Drosophila melanogaster: one gene and its partner. The protein of the gene in region 2 interacts with the protein of the main gene of each other region in a pairwise test. Each region holds a gene or a part of one and is shown on either strand. Other genes may lie near its edges.

The links. The genes of interacting proteins can lie anywhere in the genome.
Region 1: the proteins of brv1 (region 2) and phr interact in a two-hybrid assay, tested with the Drosophila melanogaster proteins (one large-scale study listed by BioGRID).

The regions. Positions count from the first base shown.
Region 1 is NT_033778.4:7,820,811-7,829,409, reverse strand, and holds phr (photorepair), read right to left. Parts: upstream 4,122-8,599; 5' UTR 3,907-4,121; coding exon 3,865-3,906; exon of another isoform or gene 3,811-3,864; coding exon 2,539-3,810; intron 2,477-2,538; coding exon 2,123-2,476; 3' UTR 2,091-2,122; downstream 1-2,090. Other genes in the region: CG18853 (uncharacterized protein), read right to left, coding at 1-64, 155-216; Prosalpha1 (proteasome alpha1 subunit), read left to right, coding at 925-1,000, 1,063-1,239, 1,528-2,009; CG30383 (uncharacterized protein), read left to right, coding at 4,287-4,718, 4,952-5,284; cathD (cathepsin D), read left to right, coding at 5,944-6,861, 6,925-7,185.
Region 2 is NT_037436.4:19,480,339-19,489,791, forward strand, and holds brv1 (brivido-1), read right to left. Parts: upstream 6,161-9,453; 5' UTR 6,132-6,160; coding exon 3,945-6,131; 3' UTR 3,488-3,944; downstream 1-3,487. Other genes in the region: CG32212 (uncharacterized protein), read left to right, coding at 7,616-7,627, 7,687-8,010.

The DNA of each region.
Region 1 (8,599 bases), on a different chromosome or scaffold from region 2:
CAGCAGGCGGGTTATCGTCTCAATGTCCTTGCGCTGCACATGCTGCAGGTTGCGCACTTGCTGCCTGCATCATGGTCAAGGCAAAATCGGTGTGAACTTGAACTATACCAGTAGCAAAAGGACACTCATGGCAATTTGCCTGTCTCAAACGCACCTGAGATTGTTGATCTCGTTCCGCGCGATGGTCAACTGACTCTTCAGATCATCCTCGTGCATTTTCGCTGCCGGCAACGCGCACTTGACTCCCAAATAATCCGCAATTGCAGCGTTCTCCGCTGTTATTGACCAATATTTACCTCGATTCTCAATGGTTACATCCAGCTAGAGTTGGCCATCACTTACGCACGGCACCGCGACGTTATCGATTGTCGATAGGTTCACCTGTGCTTAGTTACGGCCAACTGCCTTAATTCCAGTTAGATTTAGCTTGCGCTCAATAGCTTTTTTTACAAACATTTTCTTAAGAAATAACGTTGTAAGCCTCAACAAAAATTATATAAGATAACGTTACTGAGCAGTAAAAGTTTTGTCTTCAATTTACATATGTTTGTTAATATTTTTTTTTACAAATCCCTTTGCTCTATGTTGACTAATTTACAATAATTCACAAATAAAAATAGGAATAATTTAAACATTTTGTAAGCGTAGCTTAACACTATTTTGGCTTTTTCCAAATATTCGATTTCAATGATAAACGATATATCCCAGCGCGCGTTTCTTTTTGGTATTTTTTAGGTTCATTTTCGGGCTGAGAATGACAATCTGAATTTTGCACAGTAGGTTCGATTTGAAGCGACATTTTCCCTGCTATATACAAATTTGTAAATTTTAATTGTTCAAAAGGTGTGTTGCTTGCGGCAGACTTGAGAACTGAATTTTAACCGGCGTTGTCTATTGCAGCTATCGAAGCACGAAGAAAGCATCATGTCTCGCGGAAGTTCAGCCGGCTTTGACAGACACATCACGATCTTCTCTCCGGAGGGACGCCTCTACCAAGTGGGTTAGTATCCTGGCACTTGCGGCTCCATTGTATCCAGTCTGACATTCTCATTTCCCCGCCAGAGTACGCCTTCAAGGCTATTGCCCAGGAGAACATCACCACGGTGGCGCTGAAGAGTGGCGACTGTGCCGTGGTGGCCACCCAAAAAAAAGTGACCGAGAAGAACATCGTGCCTGAAACGGTGACCCACCTGTTCCGCATCACCAAGGACATTGGATGCGCAATGACCGGACGCATAGGTATGAACCATAGATACTTTAAATTCTTGTTTATCCCGGCGTGATTCGAGTCAAATTCCAGTCGAGTTAGCACAGAGTTATCCCATTGTTGATATGTCCCATGTAACCAAGTAGCGATTCACTTATGATTGTGCTAAAATCAGAAGAAATAGCCTGCCAGACATTAGGGCAAAGGCGTATAGCGTGGAGCCATTTTAAACGTAGTTTTCACACGGTGCTTCAACTAGAAAAGAGGACATATCAACCCAAGAGTGTCACTAAATACTTAAAATTATTTCTCTCCCCTAGCTGATTCCCGCTCACAGGTGCAGAAGGCCAGATACGAGGCCGCCAACTTCCGCTACAAGTACGGCTACGAAATGCCCGTGGATGTGCTGTGTCGTCGAATTGCGGATATCAACCAGGTGTACACGCAGAATGCCGAGATGCGTCCGCTCGGCTGCAGCATGGTGCTGATCGCTTACGACAATGAAATCGGCCCCAGCGTTTACAAGACGGACCCGGCTGGCTACTTCAGCGGGTTCAAGGCCTGCAGCGTGGGTGCCAAGACTCTGGAGGCCAACAGCTATCTGGAAAAGAAGTACAAGCCCAACTTGTCGGAGGAGAAAGCGATCCAGCTGGCCATCTCCTGTCTGTCCAGTGTGCTCGCTATAGACTTCAAGCCGAACGGCATTGAGATCGGCGTGGTCAGCAAGTCTGATCCCACTTTCCGTATTTTGGATGAGCGGGAGATCGAGGAACACCTCACCAAGATCGCCGAGAAGGACTAAGTTCTGTCCCGCTAGCTGTAATTTTGTCATATTTTATAAAGCCTCTTGGATCTATGGTTAAATAAAAAATGCTCTTGGCTTGCATTCAAAACAAAGGCAAATCCGAAAACGTTTTATTTCTTCTTGTGCACCTTACCGCCGTATCGCATGACAAAGGCATTTACATCGAATTTGCGACGGCATCCCTGATAGTTCATGTACCTAACCTTACCGAAGATAGCCCGCTCCTTCCAGCCCATGTCATGGACGCCGCCAATGGACCACATGCAGCCCACATAGCCGTTGGGGTCGCGACCATCCAGACTGTACTTGTCGTTCAGCAGGATTGCGTACTCCAACGCATGCTCCGGTGTCGCTGTCCATTCCAGAATCTTTTTGGCCCAGTACATGCGCAAAAAGCCGTGCATCTTTCCCTCGCGTACCAGCTGCAGTTGCGCCGAGTTCCACAGGTCGTCATAAGTGAGAGACTAGGAAAAAATTATAAAATCATTTTAGTCTCAAATCAAAAGAAAAAGAATCCGTGGTGAACCTTTTCTAGTTCTTCTAAGCTGTAGCAGGGATCTCGCTTGTCCTTGCGATGTGCATCTAGCGTTTGATATGCCCAAGAACTTAGACCTTTAAGACTATCATAGTGCTCGTTGTAGAAGCAAAAGTTATCCGCCAGTTCGCGGCGCACAATGGCCTCCTCGCAAAACGCATCCGCCGAGGCTTTGTGTTGTCCTCGAAACCGCTGCACCTCCAGTGCACAGCGCTGAGCCGAAATATGACCAAAGTGCAGCCACGGCGAGAGTCCGGACAAGGCGTCTGCCGTGGGATCGTTTCGTTTGTCATTGAAATGGCGCAAACGACGACTGCAGAACTCGTAGAGCTGCTGGCAGGCTGCTTTATACCCCGGCTTGGCCCACTGCACCTCGTCCACTTCCATGTCGCACTGCAGCGAAGCATAAGCAGCTGACCAGTCCACGGTATTCACATTCTTGCAGCCAGTTCCATGAGGATGCCGCACAACTGGTGGGAATACGCTGAGGTACTCCCCTAGCTTGGAGTTGATCTTGTTGCGGATGGTACGCGCAGCGTACTCCTGTTTGTCGGAGGCCACCCACAAGGGGACTACATTGTGAGCATCGACTTGCACCAACGGCACGCTCTTGGGCAGTGCCTTGCCCACATCCTCGACCCATTGGCGTGGCAAACGCAGCGGAGCAAAGTCACAGACTACGGCTCCGATGTCCTTGGATTTCACAAATTGTGGTAACTTTTCAACAGCGGAGCCCATCAGCAGGTGAAACGGTATGTCAAGGGCGCGACACTGCTGCTCCACCTCCTGCAGGCCGCCCATCATGAATTTGTAGTGCCTGATAGTGGCATTCAGGAATTTGGGAACTAGGCAAAATACCACAGTTAAGGGTAATTCCAGCTTGAGAGCCAGACGCTGGGCAAAGAGCAGGGCCCAGTTGTCCTGTACGCGCCCGTCGCGGGACATCCAGTAGACGACGCCGCCTAGGCTGGATTCCTTTACATCTTCGGTTTTGGACAGAACGCGCACTCGTTTCTTTCGAAAAGAGAACTCCTGTATGTTGGCTGCCGTGCAGACTCGCTGGTGTTCCAAGTGGGTAAGAAACTGCTCGAAGTTTTGGTAATCCGGCTTAGAAACCAACAAAGCCTTCGATGTGGAGGCCTCCTCATCGCTGCTTTCCTGGTCACTTTTGGGCTCGGAGCTGGCCTTCTCGTTTTTTGCTGCCTTTTTGGAAGGACCTGCCTTCTGCGCCTTCGTACGCTTCATCGCCTGCAGCGGAAGAACCTGAACATGAATGAAAAATCGTGATTTGATTTTTACTAATTCGATTTAACCCACAATCTTGAATGATTCGCGCCAATATGAAGCAAGTGTAAACATAACTGTATAACGATATGGCGACTCTATCAGCTGTTCAATGAGAGTGAAAATTATGCTAGTAGCCGCACTCCAAATACACTTCCCTTGGAAGAGAAATTATTATGAATTAACATAAATAAAGAATTAAGTATTATGTTTAAATTTATATTAGTAGATTTTTTTTTGGCATAATATTTTAAGGAAAGTTGTGGCTTTCGGTTTTGAAATACATTTAACTCCAGATGTTCCTATTTCCTAAACATTCCCTAAGATTTCAATAGTCTCAGTGCCGCATACGATACACAGCAGTTATCGATTACAAAAAGAGTGCAGATCTGAAAGCGCACGTTGAAATTAAACCGATTCTTTACTGTTTTATAATAAAATGTTTTATATTGGGAATGAAAATGGACGAAACTGTGGACGAAGCGGAATTTAATGCCAATATCGGCCGTATTGCTCGATCTACGCTTTTGCACGATGCTGAACAATCGATCCACAGGGAGTTGATCGACTACGCTGTTGCGTCGTGCCGTCTGTTTTACATCCAGGATGCTTCAGCCTGGAAGGAGTGGAACACCAGGAACGAGGCTTTCAGGGATCTCACTGCCAAGGAAGTGTGCCATTTATTCCTAACCGAAGTTCTGCCCCAACTGGACACCTATCAGCTTTCGGAGATGGCCCAAAAACGCCTTAAGCTTCTGGATCTGCATCCATTCTTCAGGCGCGTTGCCCAAGGCTACCAGTACACTCCGGATTGTGACCTTGCAGCTCGATTTGTAGTCCAGCGCCAGAAACATTTTATCCAACCTGAAGATATCAAGAAGATTAAGGTAAGCATATCTGTCGGCGAATAATTTTGATGCCAATTTACTATGTACATGCATAAATATGAATGTATTTACTTAAAATTGCTTTCGTTAATAAACAATAAGTACCCTTTTTTTAATTTAATTTAATCTATCCTTATGCAGTTATCCGGGCACTTACACATCACATTATAATCTTATATCTCTTACTCTCTTAATCCAATAGTATGATATTAATTTTTGCTCGATTTTTATAGAAAGGCGATTCCCTGAAAAGATGCCAAACCGTGCTCATGGAAAGCGATGAAATGGAGCAGAAAACCTGCGTTGGGTATCGAAGCAAAGTCTCCATGGAGTCCGCCGTTCTGTTCTCGGTACTGTTGTCCACCAACCATGAGCTTTCTATTGGAAAGATGCTCGATATGAGTGAGATTCACGAAAGAATGCGGCGCGCCAAACAGTCATTCGAGGATACTGCTAGAGTTACTCCGTTCCGAACGAACATTGATGACCTAATCTCCGATTTGGATGTCTGTGCTAAGGTCAAATCCAAACTTTGTCGAGTAATAAGTGATTGTAAAAAGTACTAGAAAGGATTAGCTATATCTTTTATCTATATTTAATACTTTTATTTCATTTTAATCAATAGTATAAAATTATTTCTCTGGATTTTAGGTGACTATAAGAAGACTATTTTTGTAATATTTTTGAACCATTTAAGCTCAAAATACAACTTACTATTCATATTTTAATATATAATTCCATGTTATCATGAATTTATTAGAATTTATATATACAAGTAAAGATTCGAAATTCAGCTTCGACCCGCTCCTTACGATTGTTATCTATATTATCAATTAATACATTAAGGTTGCTCATCATAATTGTTAATTGTTTGCTCATAAAAGCGTTTAAAAATGAAAGATGGGAAATACTTTTTTAGCTTTCCCTTATTGTCTCTAAAGTAAGATCGTAGTCATGATACAAGCTCTTCCTAAATGTGTAGAAATAATGATACATTTGTATTATATATACATAAACGCGAAATATTAAAAAGAAACATTCCGAAAATTAAAGAATTGCATTAGTTTACAACAAAAACTATCGAATCTCTCTAATCAAAACGACGCGCCAAGCCAAATTTAGTACATTATCTGTGCTGAATCATTTTCGCTGTGCCGCAATATTTAATTAACTGCAGCGATCATTGCAGTTTTAGCCACCAGAGAAGCGTAACATAGAAATCAAAATGCAGAAGGTTGCACTGCTTCTAGTCGCCTTCCTGGCTGCGGCCGTGGCCCACCCAAATTCGCAGGAGAAGCCCGGATTGCTGCGCGTACCGCTCCACAAATTTCAGTCGGCCCGCCGGCACTTTGCGGATGTGGGCACGGAGCTGCAGCAATTGCGCATTAGGTACGGCGGAGGTGATGTGCCGGAACCGCTGTCCAACTATATGGACGCGCAGTACTATGGGCCCATTGCCATTGGCTCGCCACCGCAGAACTTCCGTGTGGTTTTCGACACCGGCTCCTCGAACTTGTGGGTGCCGTCCAAGAAGTGCCACCTGACCAACATCGCCTGTTTGATGCACAACAAGTACGATGCCTCCAAGTCGAAGACCTACACCAAGAACGGCACTGAGTTCGCCATCCAGTATGGCTCGGGCAGCTTGTCCGGATACCTGTCCACGGATACGGTGTCCATTGCCGGCCTGGACATCAAGGATCAGACATTCGCTGAGGCGCTCAGTGAGCCGGGCCTGGTCTTCGTAGCTGCCAAGTTCGACGGCATCCTAGGCCTGGGCTACAACTCCATCTCGGTGGACAAGGTGAAGCCGCCATTTTACGCCATGTACGAACAGGGTTTGATCTCCGCTCCGGTGTTCTCATTCTACCTGAATCGCGATCCCGCCTCGCCCGAGGGCGGTGAGATCATCTTTGGCGGCTCCGATCCCAACCACTACACTGGTGAATTCACCTACTTGCCCGTTACCCGCAAGGCCTACTGGCAAATCAAGATGGATGCCGCCTCCATTGGCGATTTGCAGCTGTGCAAGGGCGGTTGCCAGGTGATCGCTGACACCGGTACCTCACTAATTGCTGCGCCCTTGGAAGAGGCCACCTCTATTAACCAGAAGATTGGTGGAACTCCCATCATCGGTGGTCAGGTGAGTACCATGCTCTAAGTTCTCACATGAAGCACTGCTAATCCTCTTAATTTCTTACTTTAGTATGTGGTTTCTTGCGATCTCATTCCCCAATTGCCGGTAATCAAGTTTGTGCTGGGCGGAAAGACCTTCGAGCTCGAGGGCAAGGACTATATTCTCCGTGTGGCCCAGATGGGTAAGACCATCTGTCTGTCCGGCTTTATGGGCTTGGACATCCCCCCTCCAAACGGACCCTTGTGGATCCTCGGTGACGTTTTCATTGGCAAATACTACACCGAGTTTGACATGGGCAACGATCGTGTGGGCTTCGCCGATGCCAAATAATCGAACAAAGAAAAGTATACTTAAAATTTAAATTGTAAACATTATCGATCGATCCCATTGCGGGTTTCTCCGAAGAATAATATATAAATTATCATTTTAGTAGATTTTCCATATATTTATTAGCGTAAGTTTATTAATTACAATAGGGCTTGCGCGGTCTGCACTTAATGAGACGAATAGTAAGTACGTGGCGATGACCGACGCTTCTAATCTTCCAAAATCGACTAACTTAAGTATAGCAAGAGTTCTTATCTCTAAAGCTTAACAAGTTACAGTTTCTTATAGGTAAAGCTCGATCTATAGATGGGAAAAGCACTTGAGGCTTACGACTATATTTCGGGTGTTTTGTGATTGTGTTAACTCCTCCCCTTCTAAGACGAAGGCTGTCCACAGACTTTTTACAATTGGCAAATCTATTTGAAAGCGGATCTTACGGGTAACATTGGTTGTGCACTAAGTTCCCATACTGCCAACCTGGTACTGCGTTAAACCATCGAAGGGAAGGCAGCTCTGCGTGTCTGGATGATCCGAGAAGTTCGTAAATGCTGCTGATTCTCCATGTCATGGGTTCGCAACAAGGTTCTGGAGATGATCGTAGCGAACTTGGAAAAAATCTTTATTGTAACCGTCGACTTGTTGACGACGATGATGCTGATGTTGGTTGAACTAGTTGACCATCAAAACGTATGTGTTGAACGCACTCTGGTTGGCGTCTGATGGCAGATATTATTCAGTTCGTCGTTTCAGTACCCAGGCGCAGAAATAGTTGCCGCATCTTTACGTCTTTAGCAGATACTACGTTGATAGATCTTAATTCCCTCTTCTACTCTTCTCATCTACTTAAGAGGTAGTTACAGTTTTAATACTAAAGTTTTGACAATAATTAAGTATAACAATTATAATTTTATAATAAAGTTCATTCAGATATTTTTGATATTAAAGTATGTAGTAAAACGCTTATTGATTGCAAGTATTGATTTTCCTATTTAGTTGAACAGAATCAGGAAAGGGTATTGATAACATTAGTGTTTTATTTTTTTTTAATCGGGAATTTGAAATCTAATTAGAGTGAGTGCGCTATACTGTTATTATGCCGTTTTGGTAATGCATTTATTTTCTATGGTAGTTTCAGGAAATATTTGTGGTTGCGTGGACTTTAAGTTTTCAAATCATTCGGGTCTAGCATTTCATCACATACCTTTAAAATTTTCTAAAGAGGATGAAGCGGAAATAATACAAAATGTTTAAAGATTAAATAAGAAGGATTTGACAAATATTTAATTGAAAAATGTTTGCAAACTCTTTTACTAGTGTTCAGATTTCACGTTTGTATTTTGCTAACTTGGCGATGGTCACAAAAGGAAAAGAAATACTAAACCTAGCGTAGATTATCTTTATGAACGACCCTCCCTTT
Region 2 (9,453 bases):
TTTCTTATATGAATAACTTTCGATAGAGTATTTAAAAACTGTGTGGCTGGCGTCAAGACGAACTTACTACATTCGGATTCAAAAATTTATTACTCTGCATCCGAGGGGCCAGAGCCCAGTTACCAAACTTTATGAGTTCTCCATGCTATTTTCAGTTGCCTTCTGCTGTTTGTTTGTCAGGCGGTATATGTTTTCTGCTGGCTGGTAATTTTGTTTGCCGACAAGGCGCAAAATGGTTGAATAATGGCCAGCGACATTTCGCTTTATGTTTGACTTGGCTGCAACAAGAAATGTGATGCAGGATGCGACGAAACGAGGCACCAGTACAAGAGCCAACAAATGTTTGCTAAGATTATTTCCTTGTTGCTCCTTAATTTGATTATGAAAAAGGATTACTCGGGCGGGCAATGAGGGATGTGTTTAATTATATTCCTTACTCATTTGAACTTAGATACTATAATATTTTTGAAATATTTCAAACTAGTTATCAAAGAACTCCTCAGTATTTCTTTTAATTCAACTAATTCAAGCGGTTTTAATGTACTGGCATACGTTTTTTTGTACTACCCAAATTGAATACATGCTGGCCCCTCGAAAATTCCTGCCAAATTCTGAGACTCGGCTAATGATCCAGAATCTAAGCAAGGCCAAGAGTCCCATAATTCCCCGAAAACGGGGCGAATCGCGCTTGCCATTGTGCGCCTATCTATATGGCTAATTATGCTAAACAAATTATGGAATATGATTAATAGAGAGCACGGCCTGGCAATTAACTTTTTGCGATAAATAAACCGGAATATATACGTAAGTCTAATTTAATGCTCGCTGGTATTGCGGCCAGATTTATTGGTCCCGCCCACATTTGACGCCCCTAGGGTTCGTTTTGCAGAACGGATTTGTCCTGCGATTTAACAATTCACGTAGTGACATTTGCATTTTTGATTGCCTCAATATTTCTTGCACTGCTTTGTTTTTGCTTATGGCCATCGCCATCGCCACCGCACCGTTGTAGGTGTTCCACTCCCCCCCCCCCCAAAAAAAAAAAAAAAATGTGGGCAAAAAAGTTTAAGGCCAAGAAACGTGTCGTGTAAATTAAACAGGTTTGGGTTTTAGCGGGGAGTTTTTCGGTTTAAAAAATGATACTCCAAAGGTCAGCGCGGCTTTAAAACGTTGTGCAAGTCATTTATATACAGCTACCTTTTTTCGCTGGGCGTAACAATGTCTAATTATGCCGTTTTGTGGGCGGCTCAGCTGTTTTTTTACTTGGGACGGAGTCAACGCCATTTTCTTAATTCGTTCGCGGTTCATTCTCGCCACTGAGGAAAATATTTCAATATGCGGGCTCTTTTCTCGGTGGGGATTAAAGGCTAAGGCTAAAAGTTCGAGGGACCAGAACAAAGAGCCGATGTATTATATTTCCAGGCAATTGTTTATGAGCCCCTTCTTTAACTCTTGGTTGGGGTGCATGGGGACATTATTTTTTCGGTGGGAAGAATCGTGCCGAAGTGGCGGGAAACCTAAAAACAAAAGAAAACGGAACGACGAACCCCTGGCGGCGTGCAAAACTCCTACACGCACTCCTCTGATGGATTCAGGACTCAGGACTCGAGGAGTGACGCGCTTGGCGCTGCACCAGCACTTAACCTTGGCTGAACACCGAGGACACGGCACTCGAGGTATGAATTAAATCCTGCCACGAATCCTGTCCGCAAAGATACCTAACACATAGACGAGACTTCGTTTCTCTGTGGAAACTTTAACCCAAAAGCCTGGCAGGACGAAGTTGGCTCTCTTTCGAGGGGCAGGAAGCTTTGTCGTGCGACTTCCATTCAGCGCTTCTCTTTGGCGAGAGCTTTCAGAATGAAGAGAAGTAATGTTAAGAGAATGTAAGAGAGGAGGTCTGAAATCATGTTTGTTGGAATATCTCTGAAGGGCAAGTGTTGCAAACTGCTGCACATTTCTAAAACAAAAATATAAAAATAAAGATATAAAATATATAAAATAAAAAATAAAAAATTTCTAAAATAACAAAATAATAATGAAATGATTTAATATTTACGAAACTGTTGTCAGCAGTATTATTACATTATTATTGATAAAGTTAAGTTTCTTCAGCATATTATCCACCTCACTCGTAGACATGGAAAACACATGGATAATTCCTGGGAAATGCCTTGTCCACGTAGAAGACATATTTCATATGGCGCTATGGAGAAAGAATGCTTGATACTGTGAAAGTTGAGACAGCATTGGAGGATACATTTTCCAAACATCCCTTGCCTGGGAGAAAAGATTCTTGAGCTTAGGAACTTAATTACGATTTTTTATGCTCTCTGGCTAGGCGTAATAACATATCGAACTCCATTCCTTAATGGTCCACTCCTTGTTGATTCTACTGGACAGTGAGCAAATGCAACATATTCATAATTCAGAATCTGAGGCTTCGACATTATCTTTAAAATCAGATTCTTTTTATCACTTTGCGGCCATTTGATCCCCTCCAATTCTACCAATGATTCAAACTCCCCTTCTCTATTTCTCCGATTCTTTTTCTCAAAACCTTCCGATTATTCTTTCGAAAATATTCTTATTTTTTAAGGGCTTTATTAGACCCTAAGTGGATGATTTAATGATTTCGATTTAACTTTCTTACAATTTATATTTTATATATATATGTTTTTTTTTTTCAGACAGAAGCTTGCAGCGCAGTAAGGCTGACACTTGCGTTTACATAGATACATACATTTTTTTTGTAGCTCAAATATTTTAACATAATTTTTTAACATAGACTTAGCAGGTCAATATATATACAGGTATTCCGTGCACACATTGTATCATAACAGCAAGCTTTCGTAAGCCAGCAGCACTAATGCATACTTTTGGGTGCTGATTGTGGAGCCATACAAAAAGCGATCAAAAATTAAAAACTTTTCGGGTAGCTCACTGGAGCACTAACACAATGGCAGGGGAAAATGCACACGGCTTTTGATTTGGCCACTCTCCTTCTTTTACCGTTTGTCTTCGGCTAAAACACACACACACATACCCTTACACCCTTACGCCGAGGAAAATGGAGAAATAGTCAGGTAGTTAAAACTTTTAAATTGAGGGCGGGGATCATTTGTGATTTCTGCCGTCTGGGCACTGCACAAATAAAAGGGAAGGATCCTGAATGTGGGAAAATCCTGGAAAGTTACAGTCACGGCAGAAGCGCTCTGTCACTGCTCATTTGTTGCTAATAATTATAAAAGTTTTCCCCAATCCCCCGAGTGACGTAAGTGCGACAGGAAAGATATAGAAAAACACTTGCCAGACTATCTGTCTGTGGGCTGATGCTGATAGAAAAAGGACCCGAAACTTTTGACAATTGTTTAGTTTACAGGATGTGCTCGACAATGTTTGCCGAGTCCTTTTTAGAGCTGGCATTTAGCTCAGATTTCGCAGCGAATAGCGAATAGTTTGCAGTCGCGGCTCGGCCTAAAAGCTTGCAGTATTAAATTTTTATTTGCTTACTTCATAACAATAGTGAGGGCTGTGCCACTCCCCCTTTTATAAGTCACTTGGTTCGGGCACTTGGAGCTCAGCCAGAATCCTCGGATGGCAAACAGGCCGAACAAAGCAAGCGCCAAATTGCCCTAAAAGCCTTTTCAAGTCAAAAGTTTTGCCTGTTTGCGCATAATTATTTAGCCGTGACATAAACAAAAAATCACAAAACTGCACGGATGGGGAAGGATCCTGCAAAACTATCCTAAGTAGTGTTTAACTATTAGGGACTTTTGCCGAGATTTGGTTTCAACTGTGCAGAAAATGTTACCAAACATCACGTATGTACACATCATCATTTTACCTTGATGAAGGTACTACCATAAGTTCTATTTCACATGAATCTCTTAGAATCCCTATGATCCCTTGCACTGTATAAACTGCAGTTAAGCTGTCGTTCTTCAGTCCTCCTCAGTCTCTGGAACCTGCTCGTCTTCCTGGTCCAAACTTGGCAGGTTCCCCTCTTCGTCACCGAACATAAGCCTCTCCATGAGCTCCATTTGGGTGTGGAGGATGGCGGCCAGAGTGAAGGTTCGCTCGATCCGCTCCCTATATTTCATCTGCTCCAGATCCTTGTCTATCGGCATGACATATATTGTCTCGGAATAAATTGAACTAATCTTCGTCTTTCGTCGCTTAAGCTCATTACTATTCAGTTTTCGTTGGATGTTCTGTGCAACTGTGCGATTCTTTCGCTGATATCCCTTTTGGCAGTGGAACACTTTTACGATGTAGTTAATAAAGTGGGCATATTCAACGCGCAGGAATTGCCAGAATGTTATGCGCTGCCTCACTTTCTTATCCCTATCCGCCTTGACACTGGCCATCTGATCCCTCATCATGGAAACGATCAAGTTGATCAGCATGTACTTGACCACGAATCCCATTATGGTATACAATAAGATGCCCAGCCACTCTCCGCCGTAAAAGATATCCGGTGGGTATACCAAATTCGTATAGCCAAAGGCAAAGCAGGTGACCGTAACAATGCCCTTGGGGAAGTCCCTGAAGTTGCTGGTATAGTTGCCATTGATGGTTACCGTCGCAATGCCAATTGCAATGATGAAAATCACGGTTATTACGAAGGTGCAGAGCAACGCGTCCCACGCCATAGCGATTGTCTTGGTGAACAGTTGGAAGGTGGCGGAAAACTGCAACACTTTCCACAAACGCATAGTGACCAAGGCCACGGCCAATCCCGTGACCACATCCTCAAGGTAGGCGAGCTGGGCTGGCTCCCGAAAGTCCAGAAAGTCCACCACAACGGCGATTTCAACACTCTTGATCATCTTTTGAACCAAGTTATCCCGCACCGACATGATCATCCCCACAACGAGGCTGAGTGCCACGATCATTGCATCCACCTGGACCCACAGGGTCTTCAACTGTCGAGGATCGTACCAGACCTTCAGGAAGAACGCCTTGGTGAACTGCAGCCACGTGACGACAAAGACAAACACCATTAGCATTCCGAACTTCGTAAACTCTCGCAGTTGCTCCACAAAGGTGTGACTCTCGATCCTCGTGTGGCCATCAGGATACTGGTAAGGGAACTTTTCCACCCACAAGGTGCACACGGTAAAGGTGTTGGCATCCGCGTTGTACAAGCTGAAATCCATGAACAAAGCGGTCGTATTCGCATCCAGCCAGTTTTTCTTCATCAAGTAATCAATAATTTTCAGGCTTTTGTGGCGGGTGTCCGAGAGCAGTACCTTGTAGCCCTTCGATTCCGGATAGTTGAACATGTGCCCCACGTGGTTAATGCCCATAAGTAGGTTGTCCCGAGCAACAGAAACACTGGGCAGCCAGGGTGTGTAGATGGGCCAGTACTTGTCCGTATAGGGAACCCTTTCGTAGGGCAGTGTCCAGCTCTCCGAAAAGTCCCGCTCAGTGAACACAGGAAGCGATAGACCCAATCGGTTGCTCTCTGTCCTCAGCTGCCTCAGTCTCACCACGCCCAGTAGTCTAGTGCCCTCCGCATGGATCCAAGGAGCTCCGCCACTGGTGTTCTTGCCATCCGTAAAGGCCAGCACTAACGAGGACACCACAAAAAAATATATATCCGGCACATCCCCCACACTCAATAGTCCGAACGCATCCCCATGATTACATTGGAACAGTAACTCCGTGGCCTCTGTGTTAAAGTACAGCAACTCATCGAAGAAAGCCAAGGCCATGAAGAAGTAAACCAGGAACAGCTTGCCCGTGAGCCAAAGTTCCTCGGTAATCAGGCGATACTTCAGGTTGACCCTCTCGTTCCGATGCCTCTCCGTGATCATCAGCTCACTCCGCAGCGTCCGGAGGCGCAGTCTGAGATTGTCCATGAACGTGTCCACATTGGCATTCTCGTCGGGAGTCTCCGGTGCTTGGTGGGCCGGCCAGAAGGCGGCATCCAGCGACATAATTGTGAACTTAATGGGCGTAAAGATTAGGATCTGAAGTAAAGTAACGGCCAAGAAGGCAACCAGGATCATGTTGAATTTGCCATATTCGTGACGGAAGCCCGAGAACATCCAGATACAGGCCACACAGATGGCTATGATTATCAGGGTCAGATAGAATATTATGTTACTAAACTTCTTCGCCATTGCTGTTATCAAGCTTTAGTTGAGCCTCTATAAGCTTGTATACAAATAGAATGAGTGAAAACTCCCTTGACAGTTTAGGATGGGGTTCTTTGGGATGCTTTAGATTTGATTACAGTGCCTGTCCATACTACGTAACTTATTATCATACTATTATTATGTATACTATTAGGTATAATTTGCATAGTCCCAGATTTAAGTTTACAAAGCTTTCCCCGGACTCCCAATTATTTCATTGAAATAAATATTAATTTGAAGCGTATTTAAAAAGGAATATACAATTGAATATCCATTTATTTCCGTTGTCTCCGAGGTGATCACAGCTTAGTAATTTAAATAAGGAGCGGTGCAGATGGAACGGCGTAGCTCAGTGGTGCGGAGTAAGCCAAAGGCGAGGAGTAGGTCATGGCGCAGCCAGAGGAGCGGCTGCGTACAGGGCCAAGAGAGACACAGCCAGAGGAGCAGCCACGGGAGCAATCACAGGAGCAAGAGCGATTTCATTCATTAACCTGACAACTGGCAGCGGTCACAACTGGAGAGAGACCAGCTACTACGACAGTCAGACCAGAGGAGGAGAGTAAGCCACGTTAGCAATGTAGGCCAAGGCGCACCAAGCAGTTCAGGCCAAGACAAGGACGTCCTGTGAATAAAATACAATTCGTATATAGGGCAGAAAGCTAAGATTCAAAACTTACGGATTTAAACATTTGGATTATGGATCTGGTGCTTTCGGTTCGAAAACTTGAACCTGATGTCGCCTGTAGCATATTGGACTAATCTACCCTAAGAATACAATAGATGATTGGGTATAACATAGCGTCAATACATTGTGACACTTTGTCATAATAAATATAAATATACAAATATACAAAAAGACCACCAAAAACTACGTAAGCACTCCAGCGCCCCAGTAATACGATCTAACGCTTATACATAAGCCGATCGCGGAGCGTGGGAATGCTGAGCATGCACTTTGCAGCTCAAGTGGTCAATGCCTTCTGCATACATATGTATATGTATAAATGTAAGTAAGAATACATAGATATAAGCAATGTATGTGCGGGTTAGCTGAACCCAACTTCAGCACACTTTGATCATTCGAATAAACAGATTCAAACAGAGCAGAGGTTCTGAGCTCGGAAACCAAATCTATTACATCTATACCTGTTACATTTTTAAAACAATTACACGCCCAACACATTCCATACCACTATTTATACGCCGCATCGAGGCTGCGCCTGTGACTTCAGGTCATCGCATTTAGTCCACCTTCTGCAGTTAGCAGTGAGAAATCACATAAACTACGGAAAAGTGAAAATGGTTAATCGTAACGGGAGACTGTCACAGCATTTATATGAACTAAATAAGTGCGAACAGGAGTCAGAGCTGACCACAATTTCGGGTATAAATATGCTCCACGCAGAGGAGTGGGATATCAAAGAGCTTCTAGCCTTCCGAAAAAGCACAACACAACGAAATATTCCACCATGTTCAAATACGTACGTTCTTCAGAAAGGACCCACAGAGGATTAAGCTAATCAAGCTGATTTGTTAACAGGCCGTCCTTGTCCTGATAACCGTCGCCTGCGCTGCTGCCAAGCCCGATCTCCTGGGTGCTGCCCTGGCGTACACTGGTCCTCTGGCTTACTCTGCTCCTCTAGACTACTCTGCTCTCGCTGCCGTGGTAACTGCTCCCACTCCACCTGTGACCGCCACCAGTATCGCCAGGAACAACAATGGAATCGATGCTGCTTCTGAGATTGCTTCCGTTGCTGCTCCAGTGGTGGCCAAGTACGCTGCTGCTTCTTTGGCCTACCCTTCGCGTTTGGCCAACTCCGCTCCAATCAGCTGCGCCTCTGCTGCTGCGCAGGTCATCATCTAAATTATCAACATGTGATCACTTGACGAAATAAATTTGCAAATGTATGTCAAAAATGATGGTGGTGGCAGCGTGATAGGAAACTATCGATAGGATCAGGAGTGCAGTTGGCAGGAATGATCGAAAAAGAAGTTGCAAACTAGAAGTCGAAATGAAATGAGTTGTGAAAAAGCGGATAAGTCAGAAGTTGAAAGTAGAAGTAGTGTTTGTCTTTTCTCCTTAACTTTTTAATATTAAATAATATAAAAAAACAATAACCAATATTTGAATAAATATTACATGTATTAAACATGTTTTAAATTAGATACAATTCCTTCTTAAAATGAATATATTTATAGGCTACTCTCACTGAAGATAAAGCTCTCCTGGGCCTTCTCTCTTGTTTTTGCCGAATGACAAATATATTTTATTGTACCTCGTGTAAATTTTAGCGATTTGCCGAAAAACGTTTGCCACTCCCACGCCGCCCACTAAAACAGGTTACACCCACACTTTGGAACAATTTTATATTTTTTCTCATTTTATTCCCCAATATCTATCGATATCCCAGGAAAATAATGAAATTTCGCGTTCGCATTCACACTAGCCGAGTAACGGGTATCTGATAGTCAGGGAACTAGACTTTAGCATTGTCTCTTGTTCTTTTCTCGGTATGCAGAATTTAAGAACTTCTTGGTTTTGCAGTTTGTTTTCCGCCGTTGTCCGAAACTCCATTAAATATTCAGCTGTCTAATCCCTTATCCGGTATTCCCAGCAGCCCTAACTCGCTTAAATTTCACTTGCCTGCTGGTAGTTAGTTAACCTTGCATTTCTTTGTCCTTGTCGGGTTGAAGCCATGTACAAATTATTGTGCTATCAGTGGCACTTCAATGGGCTCCCAGCGGTTGCCACTTAGGGTTGCCAACGAGTGCAGCAGATGCACCACCACCTACCGCCCACTAAGATGGGACCCCCAAGCCCCCCGGAAGCCACTGGGCTCTCAGTACTGGGGCTGGCAATAAAATTCCTAAACCGTTTTTGACAAATGAAACGTGCAACAAACAAGACGCCCAGGCGGCTACAGGCGAAAAAGTACGTAAGACGTGGGGCGAAGGACCAACCAGCCAGCCTGCAGCATCCAGGATACAGGTCCTGAGACCCAGGACGTAGGTCGCAGGACGCAGGACCGAGAATCTGCGAATGAGCCGAGCTCCAGTGCCAACAAAGATTTATGCATTTTACAGGGCAGACTACACTTTATGCGAAACTAAACGGCAAACAGTTTGAGTGAGGAAAGCTTTCACTCTCCATGCAGAGAAAGAAAATTGTCAAAATTATCAAACCTAAAGATTTCATGCTGAAAAAAACTTTTAAGGTTAAAGGTCTAAATCTTCGTTATTATCTAGGCTGGAGTAAATTTGATTATTCCAGACCCCATTTGAAGCTTGTATAATATCACTTGTGAAT